Regions from separate parts of the Mus musculus genome. Here regions 1, 2, 3, 4 and 5 are each reported to be linked to region 6. Evidence: microRNA targets listed by miRTarBase, many of them from high-throughput screens and not tested one by one. Region 6 holds a microRNA gene; each other region holds the end of a gene's coding sequence.

Evidence for each region. The annotated mature microRNA mmu-miR-24-3p reads UGGCUCAGUUCAGCAGGAACAG and lies in region 6 at 3,351-3,372, opposite strand. An mRNA with a match to its seed (bases 2 to 7 or 8) in the 3' UTR can be bound and repressed. Matches are read on the target gene's strand: a 7mer-m8 pairs with bases 2 to 8, a 7mer-A1 pairs with bases 2 to 7 and ends in A, and an 8mer does both.
Region 1: miRTarBase lists Plod2 as a target of mmu-miR-24-3p. Seed matches in the 3' UTR shown: 7mer-m8 at 4,449-4,455.
Region 2: the mRNA of Rasal1 is a reported target of mmu-miR-24-3p. Seed matches in the 3' UTR shown: 7mer-m8 at 4,300-4,306.
Region 3: the mRNA of Acvr1b is a reported target of mmu-miR-24-3p. Seed matches in the 3' UTR shown: 8mer at 1,160-1,167, 7mer-A1 at 1,678-1,684 and 7mer-m8 at 2,329-2,335.
Region 4: the mRNA of Zhx3 is a reported target of mmu-miR-24-3p. The part of its 3' UTR that is shown has no 7-base or 8-base seed match.
Region 5: the mRNA of B4galnt2 is a reported target of mmu-miR-24-3p. Seed matches in the 3' UTR shown: 7mer-A1 at 1,600-1,606 and 8mer at 2,231-2,238.

What each region holds. Positions count from the first base shown.
Region 1 is chr9:92,606,790-92,611,860 of GRCm38, reverse strand. It overlaps Plod2 (procollagen lysine, 2-oxoglutarate 5-dioxygenase 2), which reads right to left. Exons shown (of 19, transcript NM_011961.3): 18 at 4,972-5,071; 19 at 3,433-4,786. The coding sequence ends at 4,631. Among named protein-coding and RNA genes, the nearest start is that of B430319G15Rik, 66 kb to the right of the region's middle.
Region 2 is chr5:120,678,496-120,683,566 of GRCm38, reverse strand. Rasal1 (RAS protein activator like 1 (GAP1 like)) reads right to left here. Exons shown (of 22, transcript NM_001359144.1): 21 at 4,874-4,944; 22 at 3,970-4,645. The coding sequence ends at 4,539. Dtx1 (deltex 1, E3 ubiquitin ligase) reads left to right here. Exons shown (of 10, transcript NM_008052.3): 5 at 111-272; 6 at 445-506; 7 at 829-987; 8 at 1,102-1,263; 9 at 1,357-1,446; 10 at 2,095-3,303. The coding sequence ends at 2,319. Among named protein-coding and RNA genes, the nearest start is that of Dtx1, 31 kb to the left of the region's middle.
Region 3 is chr15:101,210,147-101,215,217 of GRCm38, forward strand. Acvr1b (activin A receptor, type 1B) reads left to right here. Exons shown (of 9, transcript NM_007395.4): 9 at 591-3,538. The coding sequence ends at 716. Among named protein-coding and RNA genes, the nearest start is that of AU021063, 8.6 kb to the right of the region's middle.
Region 4 is chr2:160,766,929-160,771,999 of GRCm38, forward strand. Zhx3 (zinc fingers and homeoboxes 3) reads right to left here. Exons shown (of 4, transcript NM_177263.3): 4 at 3,519-4,697. The coding sequence ends at 4,687. All of the region lies in intron 32 of Plcg1 (phospholipase C, gamma 1), which reads left to right. Among named protein-coding and RNA genes, the nearest start is that of Plcg1, 38 kb to the left of the region's middle.
Region 5 is chr11:95,861,597-95,866,655 of GRCm38, reverse strand. It overlaps B4galnt2 (beta-1,4-N-acetyl-galactosaminyl transferase 2), which reads left to right. Exons shown (of 11, transcript NM_008081.3): 11 at 380-3,097. The coding sequence ends at 585. Among named protein-coding and RNA genes, the nearest start is that of n-TQttg6, 4.9 kb to the right of the region's middle.
Region 6 is chr8:84,207,176-84,212,246 of GRCm38, reverse strand. Mir24-2 (microRNA 24-2) reads right to left here and starts at 3,432; the gene lies at 3,326-3,432. It overlaps Zswim4 (zinc finger SWIM-type containing 4), which reads left to right. Exons shown (of 14, transcript NM_172503.3): 14 at 1-1,305. The coding sequence ends at 301. Mir23a (microRNA 23a) reads right to left here and starts at 3,729; the gene lies at 3,655-3,729. Mir27a (microRNA 27a) reads right to left here and starts at 3,575; the gene lies at 3,489-3,575. It also overlaps Mir3074-2.

The sequences.
Region 1 (5,071 bases), not on the chromosome of region 6:
GTTAGGAAGGTTGAGAACCAGTGCTGTAGAGTGAGTTGGGTCCCTTTAGTTTGGTTAAATAGCCAAGGCACAAGGAAAGGGTGGTTGTGAACAGGTGAACACGAAAAGCAGACATAGCCGAGAACTATTTTGACAACCACTCTCCATTTATAAAAACATCATTAATGTCAAAAATGCACATTGTAACTTTCAGTGTTTCAATCACACAGTTTCTATTTTTTTTAACCACAGTAATGTGTCCTTAATGTTCCAGCCATCAGCCTTGTAATGAGCACTCACAATTACTATTTCACAATTACTATTTCTTTCTTTTTCATATACAGTAATTGAAAAGATTTCTTCTTTGTAGACTCCTCGAGACCTGTTCCTGTGGTGGTATAGCTATAACTTGTCTACTCCAAAATGTATCAAATGTACCTGCGTCTGACATCTTCTATACAAGTTTTATTAGTAACACACGCTAGCAGTTACTAGCATTACTAGGTGAGACAAACTTAAATGAGAAGCCTACAATAGAGGTTAGAATTGAGGACAATCCATTTCATTAGCATTAACTGGAGGCATGCCCATTCTCTGAGAATGAGGTGCTGCGATTACTCCTTTTGAAACACTGATACAGAGCACAGCAAATCATTTAAAAAGAACCTTTGAAAAATCATCTCTTCAATCTTCATTAGTACTAGCTCTAAAGAAAAAAAAACGCTTAGGAATAACTAAAGGGAAATTCAAGTTTTTGGATTCTCATGTTTAGATTAGACTATCATCCGTGGATTCTAGCCACAAGGTGGAGCTGTGATGTCATAGTTTGCAAACACAAACCATGTAAATCCAGATGAGAAGGCTTTAGTAAAACACAATCTAAGAAGATAACTTATCGAAACTCTATACTTTTTTCCAACTATCAATTATGTATCACTAATGCTTAGTATCAATTATGTTTCCATTGGCTCGATGCTGCCTTGGCTGTTACAAGCTCCAGCAGATTCAACTACCCCGTGATCTTCCAAGAGATCCTATTACAGTCTCAAAGGTCACTGAACAACACTTTAAGGAACACCTTTTTAAATTACTTAAAAAGTTATTGTGCAATTATGCACAGAGCAGTTTACTATCTACCCAAATTCACAGGAAACTTCTCTGTCCCTTAATTCTCAGTGACAACGTAACTTACAAAATTACAACGTAATTTACAAAAATGAGGCTTTGAAACGGTGACTCTTACGGCATGCTATGGCAATTTTAAATTAATGACTCATGTTTTTACTATTATATAATATAGGCAGAAATTCCTAATTTACAAAGAATATTAATATTCAAAAGAAGCCACTTATTTTTCAGTGAAGACAAAACATGCTAATTGGTTTCTTAATGTACAAATAAACAAATATGAACATCATCAACTTGACAGCACAAAAAACGCTCTTATAACTTAACATAGGGTTATGTACCTGTATGGCAAGAGCCCTTCCAATGGGCTCCAAGCCCAGTCCACAGCTCAGTTTGCATTTTAGAAGCATGCATCCATGTACTTTTCTACTTTCTTAATTTAAATCAAAGCTTGTTTTTTACACACACACTCACACAGCCTCTATGTTTTCCTTCAATGTATATTTAATAACAATTCCAAGTCTGTACTTGTTCTGTGAAAGGCCACAGAAAAACACTGCTGACAAAGCCTGCTTTCATGATGTCCTAAATAATTTAATTTTCCAAAAACAGCATCTAGTGAAAGGAAGTTATTTATACAGACTGATTCTCCACCGTGAACAGCAATTTTAAATTCTATTAGATTTGTCTGCCATTTAAAGGGATCTGGTGTGTAAGTGGTCCCAAACTCTGAATGAATGACATGTCTAAACACTAACACATAAGGTGTGCTCTAGTGTTTAGCCAGCAGGCAAACTAGCAAGAAAGTGGGCTACTTCTATCACTCAGAGCTCCGCTTATTACATTCATGTGTGCTTTTCCCAAAATTTTACTCTATGAAATTACCAATATTAGTTATTTTTTAAGGTAAAGCAGAACAGAGAATGAAATACTAGAATATAATGATCTGTTCTAGGGGACAACTTTCATACTGATTCCATGTGCATAAATAGTTAGTAAAAGCAGACATGAGGCATGTATAATGAACGGGAGTAAGAGGTTCTGGTTTCAAACATTAGCGGAAGAAAGAAGAAAAGGAGAAAAATAATGTGGAGCAAAATAACTATCATGAGGATTTGCAAGCCTGTCCTTTTAGACATGTAAATGATTTTTTGTGTGTGTTTTCTTTCAATAATGCCTAAATGCATTCACATAGTGAAATATTGCAGTTGTAAGGAAAAAGCACAAAATCCGTTTGCTCTTCCAAGGTCTCACACGTTTATGCTCCTCTCTAGAATTTTATACACACACACACACACACACACACACACACACACCGAGAGAGAGAGAGAGAGAGAGAGAGAGAGAGAGAGAGAGAGAGAGAGAGAGAGAGAGAGAGAGGACATGGATTTTTTTCTTGCTGGTCTTACACTCCAGCAGCATGATGTTTACCTCATACACACTCTCTTGCAGAGACATCTGTCATTTTGTTATTCCTGAAAAGAACACATGAATCATGGCTCCAGGAACTCTTCCCATCAGCGTCTCAGTAGTCCATTTTCTCCACCTACCCAATCCTACATCTCCCCATCTTTAACTTGTATCATCTACTTGTGGGAGGTTTACTCTAATTATGATTCTAGGATACACTGTGTATTATTTCATTAAAGGGAGACGAAAAATGAAACCCGAAAATTTGCTAATGTGCTGTGTTTACTCAATTCCTGAAAACATGGCCTGACGTGTCACGAAGGAGCCAACGCCTGGCATCTGGCCCCCTCTGGACAGTGTAGCATGTGTCCGAGGCTAGCCTGCAGAGAGTAAGTCTGTTAGTCTGCTGGACCTGGATGGTGCCACCGCCAGACCAGATCTACTAATTGTGAACACTGCCTGGAGTGCGATTAGATTAATAAATCATCACTAAAACGCGTCCTCAATCTGGCTGATCTACTTTGCATGTTTGGGGACACCAAGAAGAGCACAAGGAGGGAATCCCACTTCTTCCTGGTGAGCATGAGAGCGGAACCACCATATCCTCATGGCTTGGAACAGAACCTGGATCCTCAGATATTCAAAACTACAACTAGACAAAGATGCAGACTGAGTGAATGTATGGCTTTCGTTTGCACTCCTATAGAATGAATTATATCATCTCCCTGGTAAGATGACCTGTCACCGTACGAGTAGAAAAATATAGCTGAATTTAAAATGTACGTAGTAACTGATATACTATTAAGCCATCAAGGTAAATGAAATAATTACGGCTTTTATATCAGATATGCTTTCAGGCTAGTTTACGATACATTCAGTTCTAAAGAAACACCAATAAGACAGAGAGGCACAATGTTTATTTTAAATTATTTTATTTTTCATTATTTCCTAACACACAGAGTTAGAAAAATGAATTTTGGCACCGTGAATAAAGACTTTCTTCAAGTTTAACCTTTAAATTAAAAACAGTAGCTATAGTATATTTAAACCTCATTTGGAGAAATATTAAAAATTGAAATAAAAAATTTTGCTGTGGGAACTTTTAACAAGTAGGGTAGAGGAAAAGTAATTAAGGAGACTAAGAATGAGAAAATAGATTGCAGTGAGGGAAAGAAAAACCCCTCCCCTAGGGGGAAAAAAGAGACCAACTACCAACTATAGTCAAGGGTAAGGAACAGGCTCAAAAACCATCTTCCTGATATAAAATTCAAGTACGTAAGCTTTAAAAAAAACATAGTAAAATTTACTACTGATCTCAATGAAACTGTTATTTTTCCTTACTATTTTCTATAATGGGGGGGGGGGGGACTAGAAGGAAACAAATCCTGCTGACATAAGGACACTTGGAGCTGACGCTTGAAGCACTTTGTAAAGCAGAAAGACATGAGCTTCCCCTGAGACTTGCCCTGGAGGAACACAGGGGCCCAATTTCCACCAGAAACGAACATCTGCCTCATGCACTGTTCCTTTCCAGTGGCTATGCTTCCATGGCTATCTGCACTAGGTTTCCTGAGGGAAACCTTTGTGCAATATTTTCTTTGGGTTTTCTTCCTAATTCCTGGAAAACAGCCCTACACAGAGGTCAATGTGACTTAATAATTACATAGAGCCAGTAGGCGTCAGAATCCCAGGCTTTCAGGTTTGCTGATTTTCATTTAGAACCGTTTGCTATACTTCCCCCACCGATAAATAAAACCTTCTCAGGTTCTTCTTAAATAAGAACATATTACCAGGCTTACTTATTATCATTTATGCCTTTGTACCTAAACATTTTATAAACTGTCATTATTTTCAGAGACAATTAAAGCACAGAAATAAATACCAACTTTCACTTTTTTTTCCTTTCTTTTCTTCTTCAACCTGTGTTTTAAGGCTCAGAGCAGACATAAAGAGACATCACACAATTTTATATAAAAAGTGTTCAAATGCTTGGCCCAAAGTGATGTTGTTCTGTTGACATTATTCTTCTTGTCTTCTCAAGTACAACTTCAGAGACATGTTCACGCCAGTCATCCATCTCAGAGAGCCATTCAGTTTGAGTTACGTAAATAACTTAGGGATCTATAAATGACACTGCAATGTATCGTGTTCCATTTTTAACAGGAAGTCCTTCGTGCAAATGTGTGAGCCTCCCAGGATGCATGAAGCTCCAGCCTTTTCGTGGGGACTCAATGGAGCAATTATACCTCAGAAATTTGCATCCACCTCCCTAAAAAAGTTAAACACAAACATGCACATTTTTAATCAGTAGCAACATTCAAACTGTGCCATCTAAATGGCGAGCAAAAAACAAACAAACAAAAACCAAACAACAAAAAAACAAATATCAGCAGAGCCTTTTCCATAATACCACAGTTCCTAAACTTTTTTTTTTCATATGTTTGTCATAATTACCTGAAAATCCTCTCCTACATTATTCAGAGCAATGTTGATGGTAAAGGTTGAGGCATCGTGGTGGGGACGGAGCGAGCGCTGTCTTTCAGGTGAGTACTTT
Region 2 (5,071 bases), not on the chromosome of region 6:
AGTGGGCAGGGGAAACACCCTGCCCTCCACCCTCTGTGGCACCCACCCAACGATGAGGAGGGCGTGGCTTCTCATGACTCCACCCCCTCATCACTACCCCCACCCACCAGGGATGACCGGGATCCTGCTGTGTGCAGCGGGGCTGCCGGTGTGCCTGACACGAGCACCCAAACCCATCCTGCACCCACCACCAGTAAGCAAAAGCGACGTGAAGCCTGTGCCTGGAGTGCCCGGCGTGTGCCGCAAGACCAAGAAGAAACACCTCAAGAAAAGTAGGTCCCGTGTGACCCCCAAACACAACTGCAGTATTCTTAGGACCCAGCATGCACCTGCCTCTGCTTTCCGCCAGCCCACCCTTCGAGCCCTCCTTCCTACCCCTCCCCCATCTGCTCCCCAGCACTTGAGCCCCACCCCTACTCCTCCCTCGTCCCGCTGTCTCTGCAGGCAAGAATCCTGAGGATGTGGTTCGGAGGTACATGCAGAAGGTGAAAAACCCGCCTGATGAGGTGAGCCAGCCAGGTGGAGCCTCAGCACCCAAGACCAGTTCTCCTCCTGTCCATCCTGGCCTCACTGTCCTCACCAGATCCTGGGGGGGTGGGGGGGCGGAGCTTAAGTTTAACAGCATCGCACCTGTCCATCTTTGTGATGGACGGTTTTATGCCAAGTCTTCCATTCCGGCTTTTGCTTCGGGTGATTAAGCATTTAACCCCTGCTCAGGGGCTAAGCAGGCAAGGAGTCAGCTCCAAGATTTTCCATCTCCTCCCCACGAAACTTTGTACCCCTCTCTGGCCTTCCTCATGGCCCTCCCCCATCTCCCTGGCCCTCCAGGACTGTACCATTTGCATGGAGCGGCTGGTCACAGCATCTGGCTATGAGGGCGTGCTCCGAAACAAGAGTGTGCGGCCCGAGCTTGTGGGCCGCCTGGGCCGCTGCGGCCACATGTATCACCTGCTCTGCCTGGTGGCCATGTACTCCAATGGCAACAAGGTGGGCCACAAGGTGGGCTGCCGTGCAGTGGGAGGGGGCCGTGCGGTGAGGTGGGCAGTGGGTGCGGGGCCCCGGTGGGACCCCAGGGGCCTCACAGCAGCACCCCTGTCTCAGGATGGCAGCCTGCAGTGTCCAACCTGCAAAGCCATCTACGGGGAGAAGACAGGGACACAGCCACCAGGGAAGATGGAGTTTCACCTCATCCCGCACTCGCTGCCTGGTTTTGCAGACACCCAGACGATCCGCATCGTCTATGACATCCCCACGGGCATCCAGGTGAGCTCCACAGGCCACAGCCCCAACTCTCTGCCCCTCCCCCAACTCCCCGATTCCGTCAGTGGTCTGAAACCCTCCTGCCTGTCCCTGCAGGGCCCTGAACATCCCAACCCAGGCAAGAAGTTCACAGCCAGAGGCTTCCCTCGCCACTGCTACCTACCCAACAATGAGAAGGGCCGAAAGGTGAGTGCCCACCTGGTCTCCACAATAAATGATGGCAGAGTCCCCAGCCGCTATCTTTTATTTGTTTGTTTATTTATTTATTTATTTATCTATTTATTTATTTATTCATTCATTTACTTATTTTGGTTTTCTGAGACAGGGTTTCTCTGTATAAGCCTGGCTGGCCTCGAACTCAGAAATCCACTTGCCTCTGCCTCCCAAGTGCTGGGATTAAAGGCGTGTGCCACCACTGCCCGGCCGCAGCAGGCCCTGAATCTGCTTCCTCTCATTCACTAGCTAAACAAAGGTTCACAGAGGGTAAGAAACTTAACGCACAGTCACACAGCAACCAAGTGGCAGAGGCAGGATTTGAACCCAAGTAGCCCTTCAAACCCTCATCTTCACACTTAGGGCACCTGATTTTACCTCTTTAACCAAAAAGCCAGCACCTTAGATTGCCCTGTGAAATCTCCAGATCTTTAATCGTGGGAACTAATTCACAAACTGACTCTTTAGTACTAAGAGTGGGGTCTAAGCCCTGCCTGTACTAATGACAGGCTCCGAAAGAAACAGAATTTTATGTAGTGAATGGATGGTGTAATGTAACAGGCATAAGGATCAGACTGCCCGTTACATTCACTCCCATCCCCCTATCCCCCCCCCCCCAAGGTGCTGAGATTGCTCATCACCGCCTGGGAACGCAGACTCATCTTCACTATCGGAACATCCAACACCACGGGCGAGTCGGACACCGTGGTGTGGAACGAGATTCACCACAAGACGGAGTTTGGTTCCAACCTCACTGGTCACGGCTACCCCGACGCCAGCTACCTAGACAACGTGCTGGCTGAGCTCACCGCCCAGGGGGTTTCTGAGGCCATGGCCAAGGCCTGAGGCCTGAGTTGCCCGCCTTCCCTTTTGCCTTGCCTCTAGCCTGGCACATGCCTCCCTCCGCTCTCGGCGGGAGGAGCCAGAAGCGCTAAGGGGATCTGGCTGGTGGCTGTGGGGGGGGTGATGGGAGTCCACCAGGCCAGCTGGCTCCAACCTGTGGCTTCCGGCAAGAGCAGCAGAGATAGGACCACCAGCAAGGGCGACTTCCCTATGGAAAACGATGGCGCTTTGCCCTTCACACCACACACAAACGCACACGTGTCCTGTTGCACGCACGCACTCACGCACGTACACCACGTGCCTCTCCACTTCTCCCAGCTTGGGGAGAAAGAGACAGAAAGGCCCCCATGACATGTCCTGTGGAAATACCTGTGTCTCCATTACATCTGTATAGGCTCGTCCCTTTCCCAGGACTTGAGTCAAGCACGGGATAGTGGGGGGGACTCTGTAAGGCTTCAAGGGGTCGCTCTGCCCCTGGGCCTCAACCCCTTAACCCACGTCAGCGCTGCCACCTGCCCACTGAGCACTGCAAAGCCAATGGGGTAGAAACCCCAGGTTATTAAGTAGCTTTTCGCAGGCCACTGGGGACGAGGCTATCTTAACTTTGTGCTTGTGTCTATCTTTCCCGGGACCCTGACTTCTTCTTCTTCCTGTGTCCATCTCTTGACCTCTGTCTATCCCAGGCAAAGACATCGTCCTTGCCTCTGTACCGGCTTCTCCCCCACTAAACCGCTCCGGACATTTGAGACCCACTTCTGGCTTCAGGAGCGAGGGGAGGAGGCCTTGTTCAGGCTATACACGCATCAAGCTGAGCAGGCAGCAAAGCGTTAAACTTCTCCCTGCTTGAAAGTGGGCGGTGGGCGGCTGATCGTCTCAGGCCAACCAGAGGCCCGTTGCCCAGGCAACTCACCAGCTCCGCCTCTGAGGATTGGCTGCTGGGATGGAAGTCAGCCAAGCTTTAAAGGGACGCCAGCAATTGCTCTTTTGGAAAAAAAAAAAAAATCTACCAGTCCCACTGTGGGTGGAGAAATAAATGGTCTTTCTCCTTGTCAGGCCTTTTTCTGCCAAGAGAGGGTGCTGGGTGACTGTGCTCCTCTGGAACACCGGGAAGACAATAGCAAACGGAGGACCACGGTGGGGCGGGGGTGGGGGTGGGGTGGGGTGGGGGAGCAGTGCATGGGTCTTGTAACTGCCCAGTCATGCAGCATCAAGAGAAGTAGACAGGATTCTCTTGCGTGCAGCCCTCCAGGAGAATGAGGAAGACCTGGGAGACACCATATCAGCTCACCGAGGCCACCCTACCCTGGAGCAAGGAGCAGGGGAAGAGGCTCTGGCAGCTCAAGTGGACCCAAGCCTGTGGGAGATGCCCCAGTTCCAGGCGACCCTTGCTGGTCACACATGGGATAGCGCCACACCCTGCCTTTCTGTCTTAGGCAAACTCAGAATTCACAGGCTCCGCCAGCCGACTTCCTCCGCTGTGGGTCACTCTCAAATCATACCTCACACTCACAGAACCATTGAGCCCCAGAATTCAGATGCCCCCCCAGACCGTCAGATGCATTCAGTGGCTAGGGCAGGGTCTGGGAACCTCTGTTTCTAGCCAAGGAGCTTCTGACTGAGCCCTAGGGTACCCCGATTTTAACACGTCACGGCTAAGCATGCTCACGCATCACTTTATACAGGGTATAAGAGAGAGGAAGAGCCTGTGTCCGGCTTCGAGGCTCTGAATTGGCATGCTGGGCCCCCAGTCCGTTCTTCTGAGAACACCTGGTTGGGGCTGCCAGATGAGAGTGGAATACAGAAGGATCTGTGAGGTCACAGTGGCTAGCAGAAGTGGAAAACAGGAAGTTCCTGGCCAAGCCTATTGAATGCTTTTCTGAGTCCGCCAGGGTTGGCGTTCAGGTACAGCTGTATCCAGCAGCTTGGGGTGAGATGGGCGCCACGGGTATTGGAAGGGCTGTGTCCAGTGAAGCTGAGACTCCAGGCTCAGAGAAGAAAGTGAGGTTTGGTCAGTACAAGACTGGGCCCTACCAAAGGCTCCTATGCCCTGGCTGGCTACAGAGCACACAGGACCAGGCTTTGTCTGGGAGGCCCCAAGCAGTGAAGAAGGGGGCCTCAAGAAGATGCCTGGGCCAAAGAATGCTCAGGGAGGCCCCATGGCTCTGTCCCCAGCTGGCTCTGGCACTTTCTCAGCATCCAGCATCCTAGAGGGCCACTTGCTCCTATCCCCGTTTCTGGAACTCCTCGTGGGCTTGCTCCAAGTCTTCAAGTACCTGCAGCAGGTGGGTTGTGGCTGCTCTCTGCTGGGCCAGAACCTCAGCACAGGGCCCTGGAGGGAAAGAAAAGGCCACAGGGTTCATCAGGCTTCTGGTGGTTGTTACAGATTCCACCTCCTGATGCTGTAGGGTTTTTTCCCCCCATGCAGGAAGAATCCCCAAATTCACCAGGATACTGTCCCATTGGTGAACTGGAAACAAGAGGGCATGCAAGAGCAGGTGTGCTTGGCAAACCGGGGCATGCATCTGTAAGGGACAAGAATGGAACTCTTCTCCCTTACCGTCTGTGGCACTGGAGTCCCTCCCAGGGTCCACTTCTGTGTCCAGGCTGGAATCCTCCAGCAGTTTCAGCCTGAGAGTTGATAGGAAAAGGGACAAGGCTGGTTTCTGAGGCTCAATGCTGCTCCTACCCAAGATTCTCTGCTGCTTGTAGGAGAAATCTCGTCATCACCATGGTTACAATTGTCATCATTATCACC
Region 3 (5,071 bases), not on the chromosome of region 6:
TGTTACAGACAGACATAACATTTGCAGCTGACTTTACACTAGGTTAGGCTGTGGGAACTACCACGGTCAAGCCACTCAACACATCTTTGTTTATATATATACACTTGCCTTATGACTGTGCAGAGAGCATTCCAGGTCAACTCTGGGCAGATTTCAGCTCTGCTAATTCTGAAAACCATTCAGAGTTAGGACGTCCTCTTCCAACCTCCTTGCCTCCCATGTTAAGGAGAGCACACTCTACCTTTAAAGATCCTGGCCACTAGGGGGCGTTTCTGCACCTAGGAACCCATTGAGGGCTCCTCAGTGCCTACCAGTTGCTTGTGGTTGCAGAAGAGAGCAATATTTTCCAAAATGCTTGGGTGCCTTAGATTTAGCTGAGGGCGAGATAGAAAGAGCCAGACTTTCCTGCTGTCCGTTCTCCCCTTGCACCTCTGCCCCTTAAGGAAGGGAAGGCCTAGGAAAAAAGCCTCAACGCATCACGGGGTGGATCTGACCTGACGAATAGGCAGGCAGCGAAGATGAGCCAGTGCCAGCGGCCAAGGCTTCTGTGGGTCTCTCACTGCGGGTCTCTCACTCTGGGTCTCTCACAGGCCTTGCGAGTGATGGGAAAGATGATGCGGGAGTGCTGGTACGCCAATGGTGCTGCCCGTCTGACAGCTCTGCGCATCAAGAAGACTCTGTCCCAGCTAAGCGTGCAGGAAGATGTGAAGATTTAAGCTGTTCCTCTGCCTACACAAAGAACCTGGGCAGTGAGGATGACTGCAGCCACCGTGCAAGCGTCGTGGAGGCCTACCTCTTGTTTCTGCCCGGCCCTCTGGCCAGAGCCCTGGCCTGCAAGAGGGACAGAGCCTGGGAGACGCGCACTCCCGTTGGGTTTGAGACAGACACTTTTTATATTTACCTCCTGATGGCATGGAGACTCTGAGCAAATCATGTAGACAACTCAATGCCACAACTCAAACTGCTTGCAGTGGGAAGTACAGAGAGCCCAGTGCATCTGGCGTGTTGCCAGGAGCGGTGAAGGGTGCTGGGCTCGCCCAGGAGCGGCCCCCATACCTTGTGGTCCACTGGGCTGCAGGTTTTCCTCCAGGGACCAGTCAACTGGCATCAAGATATTGAGAGGAACCGGAAGTTTCCTCCCTCCTTCCCGTAGGCAGTCCTGAGCCACACCATCCCTTCTCATGGACATCCGGAGGGACTGCCCCTAGAGACACAACCTGCTGCCTGTCTGTCCAGCCAAGTGCGCATGTGCCGAGGTGTGTCCCACATTGTGCCTGGTCTGTGCCACGCCCGTGTGTGTGTGTGTGTGTGTGAGTGAGTGTGTGTGTGTACACTTAACCTGCTTGAGCTTTCTGTGCATGTGTAGGCCAGGGTGTGGTGGCCATACTGTCTCTGAGTGCTGCTGCTTCTCAGTGAGCAGCATGTAGTTAACCTGGTGCCCTCCTAGGTGTCTCCTGTCCCCAGACCCCATCAGTCAGGGAGGTTCTGTCTTCTCAGCAGGCTGCTTGCCCACCCTGTGTCACAGGCCCTCCTCTTCCATTTCAGACCAGAACCAAAGCTGGCCCACTTGTCCATGGTAGGAGAAGCTTTTGGGTCAAAATGAGGGGGACTTGATGAGCAGAGAGAGAATGTAGGTGGAAGTCTTGGGTGCTGTGTTTCAGCATCAGCCATGGGAAATGAGCCAGCCCAAGGGCATCTTCCTTGACAGCTGTGAGGAAGGGCCGAGGAATCCGAAGCCAGAGCTTGGGACTCAGATTGGAATGTAACATCTGTTTATGTCCCACCCCAGATTCTGCAAACTGCAGTGTATATTTTTGGTGGTGGGTTTGGGGTGGGAAGGGATGGGTTGCAGGGCGTGGGGAGGGAGGCTGGGGTGGGAGGGAGGCATCTGCATGGGCTTCTTGTACTGGATTCTCTGATCAGGGTAGAGAAGAGGCAAGGCTTGCATCCACTTCAGGGTCCCTACTGAGGAGAGTGAGCGGTCCGAGCTGAATATGGTGTTTAACCTAAGTTTAGTATTTAATGAATTCTAGAAGCCTGGCTGTGGGTGGTGATTTGGTCAGCATATCTTAGGTATATAATAACTTTGAAGCCATAACTTTTTAACTGGAGTGGTTTATTTTAATTCAGTTTATTTTATTTTATTTTGGGGGGAGGGTCAGGATTTTAACTTTAATATTGTTAAGTTTTGTAAAAGGAGAACCATCTCTGTGACAATTACCTCTTAGTCTGTTTGTTTTTAAAGAAATCCCTAAAACAAACAAAACACAAAAATTCTCCAGACTCAAACGCACATAGTTCAGTCACTGGAAACGCTTGTCTTTGCACCTGAGCCTGATCCCGCTGAGCAGTGAGGGCTGCTTTTCCCCATGGGGGCTTGCTGTCTCGTACTCCCTGCACCCTCGGCCCCATCCCGTGAGCACCTCGGCCCTCTGCACATTGCCCGGCTGGTTGGACCCTTTCCAGATACTTGCTCAGCAAATGTGGGCTGCGAGCCTGCTGAGCGCTGGCCCGGGAGGATCTCCTCAGGGTGGGGCAGGCTTGGGCGCTGCTCTGCTCCTCTACCACTGGAGGGAATGGAATCATGCGATGGGCGAGCACCTGCTGTGGAGACCAGAAGTGCTCATGGCTGGTCCTGAGAGCCTTGATGAGCTAGGATCACTGTTCTTAAAGACCACTGAAACTGGAAGGGGGACCTGTATCCCCTTGGGAAGAGAAGCCCCTGGCAAGCAGTGGGTCCTGGAGACTGGGTTCATTGTGAGCCTTTCCTGCCAGGGGAGGCATGAGTCTTTGCAGGGAAACTGTCTCCTCCAGCTTCTCCTGCCTTGGTCTCCCCATATTCTTAGCCTTTCTATTTATTTCCTGGTGTATAACTTTCCTTGCTTTAAAGGGATCTTCCTTTAATTCCTTGGGCCAATTTACTGGCCATTGAACAGTGTCCCTTGAGTCCCAACTGTGTCTCTGGGGAACCTCCTTACCCACCCCTGCTGACCTCCCACTTCCCACCCTGCAGCTGAGTATCCGTGATTACAGGCGATTGAACTGTAGAGTCCTCTCTGCCTCTGTACCTGCCAGCAGCAGCCTCACAGTGACCCCCACGCCACTGGACAACTCCCAGGAGACCTGTGCGCTCCGTGCAGCTCAGCTCAGCCGCCTCTCAGGAAGCCTGGAGCAGGTCTGGGGGACCCCCCCCCCATCACTCTTTACATTAAGCTGAGAGTTGGGAGAAGCTGTGCTTTGGCTCCCTGAGGCCACCCTGATCCACGGGGCACCCGCACCTCTGCGTTCTGGATTCACAGACCAAGTCTAAAGCCCGTTCGTTCCTGAGTTGCCGTCAAGGCCCCTGAACGGTACTCTCGGTACTTCTGTTTGTTTTTTGTACAATTTATTAGAAAGGACTGTAAAATAGCCACTTAGACACTTTACCTCTCCAGTATGCAAATGTAAATATATTGTAATATAGGAAATTTTTGTTTTAATATAAGAATGAGCCTGTCCAGTTTCTGCTGTACATTATTAAAGTTTTATTCACAGAACTGCTCTGATCCCGTCTGCCTTCCATATGTAATGACTGCCTGGGGCTTGGCCGAAGTGGGGCCTGGGTCCCCTGCGTGCTGCACTTGAGCAGAACATGTTCTCTGCTGACCTGGACAATTAGGTCTTCTGGGACTGGCTTTGTGTGGTCTTTTAGCATTTTGGTCTGTTTTTTCTAAAAAAAGATTTTTGATTCTGGGTAGTCATGGGCCACTCCCTGTCCATGGCAATGTAAGAGACTCCGGTTTTGCTTCCCTCTCCTCGACTGAAGTGTGATGCTTGAGCTGTGGGGTGCTTAGGAGACTGAGGCGAGTCTGCATGCTTTAGCTGGAATTTTCAGAGCATGGATAGATAGTTACTGATCTAGTTGGTGGCTGGGCCTGGGAGAGCGGAGCCTAAAACTGAGGTGGACTGAAGTCTCACACAATAGCCAACCTCATTGAGAACATCAGACAGTTTATACGCTGGGAGTTAAGAGACATCACTGGGGCAAAGTTCTCATCGATTCAAACCCACGTGGCAAACACGCTTTCCACTGGAGGCGCGTGGACAAGTAACGGTAGCTAGTTGAGATGAATGAATAGTCTCAAGGAAACACCTGTGGGCCTCACCTGAGCAGAGCACAAAGCACATTCCAAGTTTTGAAGAAACTAAGGTCACTAGACTCTTATTTTCTTGGATATTTCTCAGAACACTCAGAATTCTCACATGGCTCCATTCTTTTTTTTTCTTTTCTTTTTTTTTTTTTTTTTTTTTTGGTTTTTCGAGACAGGGTTTCTCTGTGTAGCCCTGGCTGTCCTGGAACTCATTCTGTAGACCAGGCTGGCCTCGAACTCAGAGATCTGCCTGCCTCTACCTCCCAAGTGCTGGGATTAAAGATGTGTGCCACCATTGCCCGGCACATGGCTCCATTCTTGGACCATGTTCCAACAGGCTAGGTGCACATGTAGCTCTGGGCTGGAGCTACAAAGCAACAAGTGCTAGGATAGGAATCTCAGGTTTGGATATGTCCCTGCAGATGACTGTAGGTCACACGCACTGCACTGTGCCCTAACATCCAGGCCCACAACTTCCACTTGCAGACTGCTGTTGTAGAAAGGACTTGCAACTTCTGCAGGTTTTCCATCTCAAAGGCTGTGAAACTGTTTGAAGGGAGCAATCAATGTTAGCAAAGGCCTACTGAAAACATGTAGCCTCCAGATGACTCAGTTTGTTAAAGTGCTTGCATGTGAGATAGGAGACAGAAACAGGATCATCTCCTAATGTCCACATACAACCTGTGACACATGAAAACACACATGAGTCTAAAACCTCAGCTTTCACTGTAACATCACTGTAGAACCTGCCCACTGTTCCAACCTTTCACATTTTAGGAGATCTGGTTATTATCCAGGACTTTCTGTTGTTCTCCCATCCGTGTCTGCCCAAGTGAAAGTCAAGTAACTGCTCTCTATAATTTTGCTTTAAGTTTGCCACATACCCCAATAACCCAGTCAGCTATTAATTTGCCCTGTTTCCTGGCTGTACTTCCCTTGCC
Region 4 (5,071 bases), not on the chromosome of region 6:
CACTGGCAGCCCTTTTTATATTCAGTGATTGAGCAGGCTTTATCCTAGGCAGTTTACCTTCAACTCAAGTTCTGAATAAACTGAATCACCCACTTTCCATGGAAGGGAACATGTGTCAAAAGGCATAGATCAAGAAAAGCTATTAACATACAGGTGCCCACTGTGGGCACAGTATGCCAGTCTCTTGACAAAAGTGGCACTGATAGCAGGTAAATGTGCAAGCCCCTCCCAGGTGTTCTAACTTGCCATTTGCCCACCCTTGTCAACAGCAGGAAGACACCATGTAGCACAGTCCCTGCCAAATAGCTGTCCTCCCTCTCTTCTGCCTGGTTCCTGCCAGAGTAGCTGCAAGGTATGTTTCAAGGAGGGAAGAGACAACAGAGTGGTAACTTCACTGAATCCATTCAGTCCCACATCCATAAGAGCCTGAAGAACCAAGGAAGCGGGTGCCTACCTCTTCCTTGTAGCAACCAGAATCTGCCTTAGTCTGTAGTAGGCAGCCCAAGTGTTCTCTCTGGATTTACATCCCTGCTCCAGAATTTAGGGAGTTGGGAAGAGGTGTTCCTGCTAGACTCAGAACTAGAAAACCCTGTTTTGGCTTTCCAGTCTGGGGGACCAAGTTCATAGGCCTGCTGGGTTAATAAGCACTCAGAACAAAGCAGGCGCTCAGTCCTAGGGCCATTCACTCTCTGAGCTGCTTTCACACCACAACAAAGTACAAATTCTGGAAAGTACATTTGGGCTTGCCACTACCTAGATGCCAGCCATCCCTAGTGGCCAGGCACAAGAGATCACAGATTTTGGCAGAAACAGACTCTGAGAACCCCATTCCTTTTGGATTTCTAGCTAGTAAGCGATGTAAACAGCAGATAGTACGATCGTCAGTTCTGTCATTAGTCAAAACTAAACCCAGCCATTCCACTGAAGACCCTCAACAGCCTTATTAGCCCTAGAGGATAGAGCGCAGCAACCTACCTACTCCACTGAACCAAGGCAGAAGAAACTGCAATGTGGATAATTCAGGCTCAAGTCTTGGGAGACCTGTACTTAGAAAGGCCTGTGGGCTCCAGTGCTATAACACATGGAAATCAGCTCATAAAGGTTTGGGCAGGTTGGTGGTGAACGGTGTGCTCTTATAGGAGAAGATGAGGCTAAATCAGGGATGTTAGCGAAAAGGCTTCAGTCTAGTATAAGAAAAACCAGGCAGCATGCCAAAATTTGGATAGGATGAGCTGACCAAAGACCTTTATGTATCTAGAAGACTACTGCAGAAAACAGAGCCTTACAAATGAATATGATAGAACTTCATCTGCAAAGTGGCTTTAGTAAAAACACAAATTCTAAGTTTTGTTTTAGGATTTCCTTGGCCGGCTTCCCAGAAAGTGCCTTTGGGCTGTGACAGTGGCACTGACTGAGCTGCTCCACTCTGAGGGTTTTGGTCCACGTAGAAACTAGGAAGACAAAAGGTAATGGCTCAAGATAGGGACAGCTCAACACTCACCTAGAGGACAAAACGAGTCTCCAACCAGCAAGGTTGCTCCCTCATCCCTACCCTCCACAGGAGGCAGCTGTGTGACAGATGTCCTAGGGCCAGCAGGGAGGAAGGGACACAGGTATGACATAGCTACTGTCAGAACAAGTAAAATCTCTGAGAGCCATCTGGGTCTGGAGAATGCAGCTGAGCTTCCTGGTAGCACATACCCAAGGGCAGCTGGAGAGAGACTTAGGATACAGGTAGCTACCTACCAGGTCCCACCCAACTCTCCTTGTGCTTCCAGAGGGGAGGGTGCCCTCGTGCTAAGGTATTTTGTTCACTGGCAGCTGCTGACACCCAGCCAAGAGAAAAGTGCAAGGACCGTCACTAGTAGACCTCAAAGTCATCTAGGGAAAGGACTCCCAACACTAACACACCCAACTACCAAAAGAAAAAAAAATCTGATCAAAAAATTACAAATAATATGCAAAGCTTATGTATAAGTTTAGGTTTCTGTTAGAGTTGGTTCTGATCTGTAACTGAACTGACATATATGAGTAGAAAAAAATCAATATACAAGACCAGCACAAAAGACACTTAGAATGTACTGCCTCTGGTAAGTCCAAGTGAGTGCAGAAGATAGGGCAAGACTCACCATGTCACAAAGCACACCTTGTTAGGAGAAGCACATTCCACCCCACCTCAGCAGCCACGGCCAGCCTTCTATTGAGCCTCCAACTGTACAAGGCCACTGTGATGTCACATAGTAACCATAGACCTGGTATCTGCCAACCTACACCCCAACTCCTCTGTCAGTGCACCCATGCTTGGTACCCAAAGCCCTTCCCTGGAGTGCCTACGCTATGACCACCTCCCTCACCATTATCTATCAAACAAGGTCCAAGCCACAACTTCCCTCCCCTATCCAAGGGCAAAGGAAGCAACTTGTTTCTTACCTGAACAATCTTGCCATTACCAGCTCTGAGAAAGGTGTGCTGGGGCCAGTGTTACTGCAACTTCCCATCCAGAAGACTACCTAGTGCCCGAGACCAGGCTGCTCTCTGTGTCCTGCATAATGTCCACCAAGTAACGTAATGTTTCTGTTCCATGTACATTGTTCAGACATTTTTATAGTCTACTGTTCAGCTAGTGCAGCAGGGCTCTGGAGGAGAAGCCCAGCAGGCGTCTGGGCTCAGGTGAGACACACATGCTTCTTAGACAGGAGATGGCTTCCCCTGCTGCTCCAGCTGCCCAGTATACTGTTCTCTCTTCACACACAGACTACTTCCCCCTAGGCATCCACATGAAGCTCAAATGCACATCAGTTGTACGATTTATGAATAAAGTATCAAATAAGTATGTGTCCTGTATATATGGATATGTAAATCTGCACATATACAAACATGTTCTGGAGAACGTTCAGGCTTCTGTTCTCTGAAGAAAAACAATCACTCACCATTTATTCTTTCCAATTCCTCAAGGTTTGGGGCCAAATAGCTTCCCTCCCCAAACAGAAAGGATACAAAAATAGGCAACAAAACTTGCCAAGTAGTCAAAAAAAAAAAAAAAAAAAAACCCCAAAAATAAAACAAAATAATAAATTCCAATCAAACGTGAGGCCATCCCTATGGGAACAGGAAGGGCAGGAGAAACAACTTATAATGGTTCCAGGGCCCTGGATTACAAAAAAAAGCCCTCTTTCCTAAAAGGCTGAAGGCCGCCATGTTCATCCTCAGACTATTCCCCTCCCCTGGGAAGGGAGGGAGGAGAACACCTGGAAGTTGACCACTGCTTCTTGGTTTTCAAAGCTCTTGCCCTGCCTGTGGGTCTCCTGATGGAATCTCCAAGAGGTAAGTGGGGCTATGATGACACATCCTGTTTGTCATCTTTCCCTCCCCTACCCTGCTTTGTCTACTGCTCTCAGAGAAGCCAGCCTAGGTGAGACTGGGGCTTTAATGTTTAGTACAGTTCCCTAAGCAAGTTTTCCATTGTTTCAAAGGCACCATTTCTTGTGATTTTAATTAAAAAGACATGAGGCTTAGGCAAAAGTAGATAGAGTACTTGTTTCTCAGGTTGGGAATATAAATGTGGAACTTTAAAAACACCCTCACAGGAATCTGTCCAGTGATGCCCAGCACCTCTGGATCATGAAACCAGTAGCTGGCCAGGGCCCTTGGTGTGTGACAGGCATTTTGCCAGGAACTCTGACCTGCAGGTCTTTGTGTTCAAGAACAGTGTAGCTCTAGTCACTTCAAATCTCCCAAGCCCTTCAGCCTCATTCTTCCTCCAGCCACCATGTATTTCCTTCTGACCTGCAGGAGGCATTGAGCACTTTGGTGACCAAAGCCACAGCAATTGGCTCTACTTTGATCACTTTCCTTTTGTTCTAAAGGAGTCTGGATTGAAGGGCTGAAGGGAGCTACAGGTCAGTAGATTGGGCTTTACAACAATGGTTTCTTTAGTTGATCTGATAATGGAGAAGTTGGTCCATGATTCAAACTCAAAAACAAACAAACAAACAAAAAAAAACCAGAATTACAGTTAACTAAAGAGAATGGTTAGCATCCAATGGTAATGTCATAGCTTGGTTGTGTTCAGAACTGAAGGTAACAGTGGGCTCTTTGTCAATCAGAACACAAGACAAGTCTGGCACAAAATGTGGCTTGCCTCCACTCAGTGATGCAGAGATCTCTTCCAACAATCTGTTCCCTTGAGAAGACAAGTAGGGCCAGGCCTGGTGCAGTTCTGAGCATGCCTGGGACTCCCACTGTTGCAGAGGATGAGGGTCCCTGTGGTCTCAGCTTCCCAGAAAACAGACATGGCATTGTCAGAGCTGTACTGTTTTGGTAACCCGAGTTCCTATGTATTGAAAATGTCTGTAGTAGTATGCTTTATTAAATGAATATAGGCAGCTGTATATGCTAACAACTTGATTCTGGGTCTAGGTATATGCAATCTGAATTGTCCCTGGGAGGCCATGGAAAGGTCCTGCTCTGTGGGAAGATGGGCTGATGAGAAACCATTGCTATTTGCTCAGAAATGTCAGGCGGAAGGTGGTTGGGGCGGTGGCAGGTTCTGGGTTCAGCGAGGCTCCAGAGGCTCTCCTGGTGCCTGGCAGCTGGCCATCAAGATGATATGTGGCAGTTTTGGCCCTTCCACATGGCATACAGCATCCCAGACTGGCCGGTCCTTCACAGTAATCAAGATCAAATTCAGTCTGCTTCTGAGGAGAAAACACATACCTGTCACTCCATGGCAGCTACAACGTGTACAGTCCCCAGGGATGTCCTATCCTCACTATCCTGGGCTGGTATCACTGGAGTTGGGGACTCCTTAATTCCACGAGGAATGCCAGGCCACTGTCCCCTCCAGCCTGAGAGGAGGTGAAAGAGCAGAGTGTGGGTCAAGGACAAGATGCTGGCTCAGTTGGACAAGGCCTTCAGACATCTTAGGCTCCTGTCACTCACCTAGCCCATCATCCTGGCCTCTGACCCATGATGCCTGTTAACCCTGTGTTCCAAAAGTCCTGCCTCCTGCCCCCAGAGCTCTGAGCTCTGACATCTCATGTACACCTTGCAAGTTGGAAGTCAAGGTCAG
Region 5 (5,059 bases), not on the chromosome of region 6:
ACTGTGGAACTCATGGTCCCTCTTGCCGCCCTCATCTCCCGGTGTCTCCCTATGCTGCCTCTGCCCACTTGAGACACGTTTCTCCGTCCTTCCCCGCAGCTCAGCCCTCTACCTTTCTCAGCTTCAGTCTTCTTTCAGAACGTCTTTTCCACCAAAAACTGCACTTAGGGACTGCCCTCTCCCTTCACCCCTTCCTCTCCAGAACCCACAGTCCCATTTAGTGGAACCCAGCGGACTTGACGCCCACTCTCCAATCTGAGAAACTGAGGTTATCTGTTTCTTTCCTTTCAGCTCCAGGGCTCCCTGTCCGGCGTGGGTGGGGAACCACAGCTGTCTGTCTTTAGCTTCCTTTTGTCTCCCGTTCCTCTTCTCTTTGCAGAGTTCTTTATTGATGGGCTGGGGAGACTGTTGGTGGGCTCTTGCCCGGGTGTAATTATAAACCACCAAGTAAGAACACCACCAAAGGATCCAAAGCTGGCTGCCTTGGAGAAGACTTATGACAAATACCGGGCCAACACCAATTCTGTGATCCAATTCAAGGTTGCACTCCAGTACTTCAAGAACCATCTCTACTGCTCCACTTAAAAAGTACCAAGACCAGGAATCGCAATAAACAGATTAGCGGCGGGCAACAAAAAAAATAGTAGGATTGGACATTGGAGGGTACCAAAAGCAGACTCCTAACAAGGGGAACAGGGAACAAAGAAGCTGGAAGCTGGAGCTAGGGTAGGACCCTGAAGTCGGCTCAGGACCCCCAAGACCAAATTCTCAGCACAGAGATTTATCTGCCCTAGAGAGAGAAAGGGCAGGGAATGAGACAAAGACAAGGGCTGGAAGGTGGTGGGGCACACCTTTAATCACAGCACTCCGGGGGCAGAAGCAGGTGGATCTCTGCGCATTTTGAGGACAGCCTGGTCTACAGAGAGAGTTCCAGGACAGCCAGGGCTACAGAGAAACTCTTATCTTAAAAAGGCAATAAGTTGATCTAAAATAATGTTATTTAAAGCCAGATGATAAGGTTGGTGTAGTGTTGTGATCCCAAAGCCCAGTAACTGAAGTAGGAGGATTGAGTTCAAGGCCAGCCTGGGCTATGTAACAGCCCATCTTTAAATGAGTGACTAGGGGGCTGGAGAGAGCTCAGTGCTTAAGAGCGATTAGGACAGAGGACCTAGATTGGCTCCCAGGACCCACATGATGAGTCACAACTTCATACCTGCAGTTTCAGGGAATTGGAAGCATCTGCTTACCTCCAAAGGCTCCTGCATATGAGTGGTGCATACATACACGCAGGCACACACATATGCACACAAAATACGCTTTAAAATAAATGAAGGAATGAGTGAATGGCTAAATATTAACCAAATAATTCCGATTTTATTTTGTCAAGACTGCCTGGCCTAGCACTCACTGTGTAAGACTGACCTCACACTCATGGCAATCCTCCTGTCTCCACTTCCCAGTGCTGAGGTATGAGGTGTGAACCACAATTTCTGGCTTGGATTTTTAAAAAGAATTTACACACACACACATACATACACACACACTGTAGCTGTCTTCAGACACATCAGAAAGGGCATCAGATCCCATTACAGATGGTTGTGAGCCACCATGTGGTTGCTGGGAATTGAACTCAGAACCTCTGGAAAAGCAGTCAGTGCTCTTAACTGATAAGCCATCTCTCTAGTCTCTAGCTTGATTTTTAAACTTTGACTTTTAAATATACTTATTCATTATAATTTTTTTTCTTTTTGAGACAGGGTTTCTCTGTGTAGCCCTGGCTGTCCTGGAACTCACTCTGTAGACCAGGCTGGCCTCGAACTCAGAAATCCGCCTGCCTCTGCCTCCCGAGGGCTGGGATTAAAGGCATGCACCACCATGCCCGGCTTATATTTTGATTTTAATGGGATATTAAGATGGATGTTAAGATTGTGAGCTTTCAACCCTGTCTCGGAAAACCAAAAAAAAAAAAAAAAAGAAAGAAAAGATTGTGAGCCTTCATGTGGTTGTTGGGGATAGAATCTCCACTCACTCCAGTCAACCCTGTTCTCAGTCCCTGCTAACTCCGGCCCAAAGATTTATTTATTATTATAATTATTATACGTAAGTACACTGTAGCTGACTTCAGACACACTAGAAGAGTGTCAGATCTCATTACCGGTAGTTGAGTCACCATGTAGTTGCGGGGACTTGAACTCAGGATCTTTGGAAGAGCAGTCCATCCTCTTACCCTCTGAGCCATCTCGCCAGCCCATTTCAACACTCTGAACATACTTACACTTTATTTTTTACTTCCTGAGGTAAATATTGCTCTGAGCTAGACCATAGAAAGCCAAACACCAGTGGGTAAGGAGGCGAGGAATGACATGCCAGCTAGTTGTGGTGTGGGCCTTTAATCCCAGCCTTGAATTCAGAGATCCTCTAGCCAGGGCTAGGCAGTGAGCTCTGTTTTGTTTTGTTTTGTTCTGTTTTCAGAACAAAACCAAAATCAGGGGCTGAGGAAATGGCTCAAAAGGTGAAGTGTTTGTTACCCAAGCATGAGGACTTGAGTTCAGATTCCCAGAAGTAAGGCATAGCTGCCAGTCTGTAACCCTGGGCATTCTCACAGCAAATGTTAACATCCTCCATTTTGACTGGGTTGTCGTTAGCATGCTCAAACACAGTCTTTTCTCTACTTCAAGATCTAGAACCATCTCTCCAGAAGAGAGAGAGAGAGACAGAGAGTGAGTTAGTTTCCTATGATCCAGTAACACCTCTTCCCCAGGAACACAGGATGTTCTAAAAGGACATCCATTCAACTCAAAGGGTTCAGGGACTCCCTGAAACCCACCAGACAGACTAGGCCCCCTCTTTTCCAAGTATATTAGCTGTGAAGACTGCTGAGAGGCACTCTCAGACAAGTTGAGCTGCCTGAAACAGACATTCTCTAACCTGTTGAGCTGTCTGCAAGTTGTACAGAGGGCTTCAAGTTTACAGCTTTTGTGACATGGTGAGCTTTCATGGTGCCGCTGTCTTTCGAGTCATTTGTGATCCTGCGGTAACCCCTCACCCATACTTCTGTCTGTAACCCCAATAAAACTCATCAGTCTGCTATACTGGACTCGGGTGGTGTGCTTATTTTGATCCGTCATTGGTTCCTGATTGGAGTGAGTACATGTTTGTCCCCATCTTCCCAAGGTTAGTGTCACATGGCAGGGTGATATTAAGAGTCTCTGAGCACAAAACTGGAACATTTCTTCCTTTGGGTCTTCCCGTGTCCCAAAGCAAGTGGCTCAGTGACCAAGTCTGTTAAAACATTAGCCACATTTAAAGACTATGAAGGCCCAGGGCCCACTCTTGAGACTGCCAGCCACATCAAGTGGAGTGAGAGGGCAGGTTAAAAAACAAAAAACAGAAACACAACGAACCCCCTTCCTGCTAATTCATACTGCAGTAAGCAAAGACAGGGAAGCAATCTTTTTTTTTTTTTTTTTTTTTGGTTTTTCCAGACAGGGTTTCTCTGTATAGCCCTGGCTGTCCTGGAACTCACTTTGTAGACCAGGCTGGCCTCGAACTCAAAAATCCACCTGCCTCTGCCTCCCAAGTGCTGGAATTAAAGGCGTGCACCACCATGCCCGGCTGGAAGCAATCTTTTAATGCCACCAGAGGAACACAAGTAGGGTTACAGTGAGTGTGCCAGTTCGATTAAGTTAAGAAAGAAGGTGTGGGGAATGCCTGGGACAAACCTGAGCATGGAGAAGTGGGGACACAAAGGCAGTCACTGTCACCTACACACTCGCTGTAGGGATATAATCCTCTTGAGAACCCATACCAGGCCAGTTGTGGTGACAATGTCTTCGATCTCTGGTCTACAGAGCCAGTTGTGGGGCAGGAGAGCTACAGAGCTATATAGTGAACCCTGGAAAGTGGACCGGGAGTGGGGGGGGGGGGCGGGGAGGGGAGGGGGAAATTATGCCAATGTGTCCTGTGCAGTCATGGGACCCTTTCGGAGGGTGGGGCAGGTCTCTATGTAGCCCTAGCTCTCCTGGAACTCACAGAGATGAGCCTGCTTGTGCCCACAGAGTGCTGGAATTAAAGCCATGTGCTACCACGCCCAGCTCACATGGCCTTTGTAAGAATGAAATAAGCGGGAAAATAAATGAGGTCTACAAATGCCTAGTGTTCAAGCACAGCCTTGAGGTACTGGGTTTCAGACCCAGGACAAGAGGCTGAGGTTTTGGTATTTTACCAAAGCAGACCTGGCCTCCAGGTTCTCCCAGCATCCCTCAGTCCCTACTTGAACTCTGCAGCCCAGAGGCTGGGCTTCTCCTCAGAGGTTCTTCACTATATAATCCAGACATTTTGTTTTGGTCTGGGCATCCTGTACCCCCAGCCCCCTCTGCATTTCTCTTCCCCCCTCCGCTCTGTCTCCTTGTCTGCACGGTGACCTCCCTGGTCTCATTTCTTGGGACTGGTGAACCTGCCTAAGAGCTGCCTCCAATAAACCTGCCTTTATACTTTAACTTGGCATGAGCTGGCTCATTTCATCGTCGGAGATAACCTATCAGGAATCTCAATGTCAGATGGGGTTAATTCTCAAAATGGAAACTCTGTAGTGTTCCTTCTGATAATATGCAAGAGCTACAAACTACTTTTCTTTTCTTCTTACTTTTTTGTTTGTTTGTTTGTTTTTGGAGACAGGGTTTCCCTGTACGATAATAGCCCAGCCCTGGCTGATCTGAAACTTATTCTGTAGACTGGACTCAAACTCGCCTGCCTCTGCCTCCAGAGTGTTCAGATTAAAGGCGTGCACACCGCCCGCCATGCACACCCACACTAGAAAATCTCTTATCCATTCACTCAGGGACAAACTGTCAGACTCTTACCAAATGAGCGCTTGGACTTGGACTAACTGCATTCGTGACTGCATGCACAGAAGAGGAATTTAGCAGAATAGTGGACAGCTCATAGCACTAGAAGGGGGTAGACAAAGCAAGCTCAGGGAAGTGGCCAAGAATCCAGGGACTGAGGCAACCAGGGGCCCAACAAGGCCAGTTTGCTTGGCATGTCACCTGAGAGGACA
Region 6 (5,071 bases):
ACCCGGGCTGGGCCCACTGGGGGCCCGCAGGGCTACCAAACCACTAGGGACTGACAGGGCACCACTTTGTCAGCTTCTGGATGCCGCAGTAGCCGCGTACATAACCACCAGCCACTCTCGCCTCACCCACATTAGCCCACGCCACTATGGTGACTTCATTGAGTTCCTGGGCAAAGCTCGAGAGACCTTCCTTCTGGCACCAGACGGGCACCTCCAGTTCGCACAGTTCTTAGAAAACCTGAAACAGACGTACAAGGGAAAGAAGAAGTTGATGCTGTTGGTTCGGGAACGGTTTGGCTGAGGAACTGCAGAAAGCCGGGAGCATGGGTGTCCCAGGCCCACCTTCCTCAAACAGGAGGCCCATGGCTACTTGCAGTAAAGTTACAGAGGTGGGAGGCAGAGGGTGACATCATTCCAGGTGTGTGCCTAGGAGTGTGCAGACAAACGGGACATGCGATCTGAGGATCCGAAGCCATACTGCTAACTAGACCCTGCAGGGAGTATGTGCCTGGGCACCTCACACGGAAGAAGCAAGCTCTGGCTCTTCCAGACTCCCAGGGTCAGCTGGGACTTCCAGGAGAAGGGCTGGGCCAGAGTGAAGTTAGGCCTCCAACTCAGTGCAGCAGATGCTCCAGAGCCGGAGCTGGCCGGAGCCTAGGCACTTCACATCAGGGTAGTTACTTCCCACTGTGTTTCTCCCCTCTCCACAGCTCAGGGCTCCTGTCCCACTGCCCTGCGCCCCCAGCCCCAGCTTTCCAGCACAAATGCCTCACCCCACTGAAGGATATTAAGAGGTCTTGGGCCTCTGCCACATACCTCACCCCCAAATACCCTTGTCAAGCCAGGGCCTGTCTTCTCTTGGGCACCAAGGTCACAGGGTAGGCTGGGGACAGCTCTCTGCTGGCCAGACCCCACCACTAGTAACTGGATACACAACTCAGGAGTCAGGCTGCCCTCCAGCCTGTTGTGGGAGGCACAGGCAGACAGCCAGGGACCCCGTTCTGTCTTCCTCTTGCTCTGCACCTCCATTTGTTTCCCCACTCCCTTAGTTTCCCCATGTCTGCATCTCTCTCAAGTCCCAGCTGCTGACAGGCCTTCCTGTATCCCAGGCCTTGGCCCAGGGAGGAAGAGAAGGGAGAGCCTCCACCCCAGACGCACCTGTCTTCTCTCTTGTATATTAAGGAAAAAGTTGGCATCATTTTGTAACTTTTTTTCTTATTTATTGAACCCCATACTGTATTCTTTTCCTTTTTTTTTCCTTTTTTTTTAAAAAAAAGATTGAACACAACTTCTTTTTAACTTCAAGACTGGGTTGCATTGCTAACACAAACACCCGGGGCCAGGGGTACCTACCACCTGCTCAATTAACCAAAAAATTTTCCATCTCGGTTTTTGGGCACAACTTGAATGGGACAGGAGAGGCTGCTGGTTTCTTCATGGCATCGTGGTGACACGAAGAGCCACCTCTTGCTGGTGGCTTTACTGCTTTTCCATCTGCATGTCATAATCTCTGCAAGTCAGGAGGCTTAAAACGCCCAAACCTAGAGTCTGTAGGTTTTTGGAAAATGCACCCAGATTGCACTGTCCTTCATTGCAGGAAATGACCACCAGGGGGCGTCTGGCTCCAGACAACGTCATTCGGAGCTCCGGAGGTCTCACCAGGTGCGGAGGGCAGCTGGGGACGCCTGTGTCCCCAGTGACCTGCCCATTGCATTTTTGGGCTGTGGATGAGACTCCCGTTCTTAGATGGATTCATCCAGCGGACGGCCTGGGCATTCTTCTCATTCTCCGGTTCTTTATGTCCTTAGCTGTGTCTGACAGGGTCATTGTTTAGGACCGTTCTCTTGGAAGCTGTGTGTGTGTGTGTGTTGCCTCTGTGGGGCACTATGGGAGCTGGCTGTGACTATGAGTGTGGCCATAGTTCATGGTGCGTTCCTTTGCTCCAGGGAGCCGATCAGAGGCGATCCGCCCCTTAGCCCTTCTGGCGCAGACGGGCGCGCGCGCGTGCGTGCGTGCGTGCGTGTGTGTGTGTGTGTGTGTGTGTGTGTGTGTGTGTGTAGACGGGCGCGCGCGCGTGCGTGTGTGTGTGCATGCGCGCGTGTCTGTCTGTGCTCGCATATGTGCCCGTCCTTAAGCCCTGTGTGTGTGTGTGTGTGTGTGTGTGTGCATGCGCGCGTGTCTGTCTGTGCGCGCATATGTGCCCGTCCTTAAGCCCTGGCATCTTGCCAGTCAGTGCATCCCAGCATAGGCAGAGTACATTCTTGTAACATACTCCCTCATGGAACTGGGGTGACCACAGATTGGTCTCATACACCCCAGGTCTGGGTTATCCCTCCCGTTCAAGCCATCCCCAAAGGATCCCAGGATCTTCAGGTCGCAGCACCTACTGACCACAGAACTATATTTACACCTTCCTAGAAGCAGGTGGAGCAAGGTTGGGGATAGGTGCAATGCAGGTTAGGAGCCCAGGGTGTGGTAGATATAGTGGTGCAGCTGGTATTCCCAAACTCCAGACACTGGAGGAGTTTGATTCAAGGTCAGCCTGGTCTACACAGAAATGCTGTTTCAAGAGAAATGAAAAAAGCCAGCAACACACATGTGGGAGGCGGGAATGAAGAGACGTCAGCCCTTACGGAATGAGGCTGTGGAGCTTTTATTTAGTTGGAGAACAACATTCAATACAAGCTTTCAACTCTGTTCTTCCACCCAGGCTTCGATTTGCCCCTGCCCAGAGTAGGGAGAGGACACTGTATGGTCTGGGAAGTGTAACTCAGCCAGTTCCAATTAGTCTGCATGCAGTCTCATTTGTGGGTAGTAGGCAACTTTTTAACTTCCAAGCCTGGAGATTACTTCAACAGGCCAATGGGGGGGGGGGGCATGGATCTGTTCATATCCTGAGGCCTGTGTGGACCTCGCTCCCTGCCTCGCTGTCACCAGCAGAAAGCTGCAGACCCCATGGGATTGCTAGGCACACTGGATCAGGTCAGTGCCTTCTTCCGGAAGCAGAGAGTTGGCATTTAACCGTTAGAGGGCCTAAAGCAGCTTCCTCTTGGGTAACTGACTTCAAAGATGGTATGTATAAGGGGTGGTGCCTGAGCCCCACCAGACTTAGGAAAAGAAGGGCTTCCAGGCCCTGAGGGGACATAACTGGCTTTTAATGCAAGGGTTACCCGCCCATCTATCTGCTTTGGGGAACCACAGAAATCTCAAGGTGGACACCCAGATGCAGGCTTAGAGGCTGAGCCTCCAGCAGACAACGGGGCTTAGGTTGGACTAATTACCCCATTGTTTCCAGGTCTTGCTCACGGCAGACATTCTGCAGGGTTGCCAGCTCCTAGGGGGCTGGACTCCTGTTCCTGCTGAACTGAGCCAGTGCACTGGAATCAACTGTTTCAGCTCAGTAGGCACGGGAGGCGGAGCCCGGAGAGAGGCAGAGCCCTGCCAGCCAGGAGGCAGAGCAGGGTGGGCAGCAGCGGCCTGAGGAGATGGGGTCCAGGGGGCGGAACTTAGCCACTGTGAACACGACTTTGCTGTGGACCTTGCTCACAAGCAGCTAAGCCCTGCTCCTCAGGCCAGTTGTCATGATAGGCTTCTCTGTTACCCAGTACCCAAGACAGACATCCTTGGCGACAGGAGCCCCCAAGGCAGAGCACAGGGTCAGTTGGAAATCCCTGGCAATGTGATTTGTGACTGGCATCAAATCCCATCCCCAGGAACCCCAGCCGTCCGAGGCACAGTGAGGGGGGCAGCAGGTGGGAGCGGAGTGTAGCACCTAAAGAGAGAAAGAAGAGACAGTGAGATTGGAGCATTCTTGCTTGCCTGCCTATCTTGACCAGGCTGGGTCTCACATAGCTGAACACAAGGTTTCCGAATGCACCAGTTCTTCCTGCCTCTACCTCTGGAGTCTAGGATTATAGGTACACCTCACCACACACAGTTTAAGTGGTGCTGGGGACAGAATCTAAACTCAGCTTGCTGATCCACACCCTAGCCCTCCTCTACTTCCAAGAGGGAAGAAGCATTCCCAAAAAAGAGGAGCATCGATCCGTAGGAAGGTTGGAGCGAGGCTGCTGGATGCTGGGCACCCAGCAGTGCCTCTACCCCAGCCCTACAAAGCGGGAGGTGCCTGAAGCCCTAAGGCCAAAGGGGCTGCAGAGCCTTCCCAGCTGCTTCCCACTCTGCTTCTATCCCCACCCACAGCCCTGAGCCCAAAGCAGGCCAAATGGGGCCATGGAGAGGAAGCTGAGGGAGGTGGACGGTTGGAGGGAGGAAGTGACCTCACCCCAGCTGGCGCCACTTCCTAGAAGCCTGAAGGGCAGGAGGAAACTCCAGGGCCTCCCACCTCAGCCCTCTCCTCCCCAGCCAGCTCAGACATAACCCCACCCCCACCCCACACCACCTAGGGCCCAAGCAAGGAGAAGCAGGCCGATGCACCCCAACAATAACACCTCAGTAAAGTTTCCCCTAGGCCTTCCAAGCCTCAGTTTCCCCATCTGTAAAGCAGACTACAACAGTTGCAGTTGGTGGCTCACGTTTATCTCAGCATTGAGGAAACTGAGGCAGGAAGGTTGCCAAGAATGGAGTCAAAAGCCTGCTTAAGCTACATGATGAGTTTTAGGCCTAACTGGGCTACAGTTTGAGACCCTAGTCTTAAATAGAAGAAAAACAAAAATAAAACAACAAAACCCCAAACCTTCTACTAGGAAGGCCAGTGAAAACTTACAGAGAAGGTATTTAGCACCCAGTACCAGGGCAAGCCACAAAATTTGGGGCCTACCCAATGTAGAGTAGTGTCCTGCGTGCCAGTTAAAGTTTTCAGGGGCCAGCAAGCTGATCCAGCAAGTGAGCAGAGCTGCTATGGAGCCCAATGCCCTGAGCTCAAACCCAAGAACCACGAAGAAGAAAAGCATACGGACCCTTGCAAGTTGTCCTCTGATCTCTGCACTTGGGAACACACACACACAATTTTTAAAAATTGTTTAAAGAATTTCAATGTTGGAGAGATGACAGGTTTCTTTCCCAGAACCTACATGACAAGCACAGCTATCTATAGCTCCATTCCCAAGAGCTC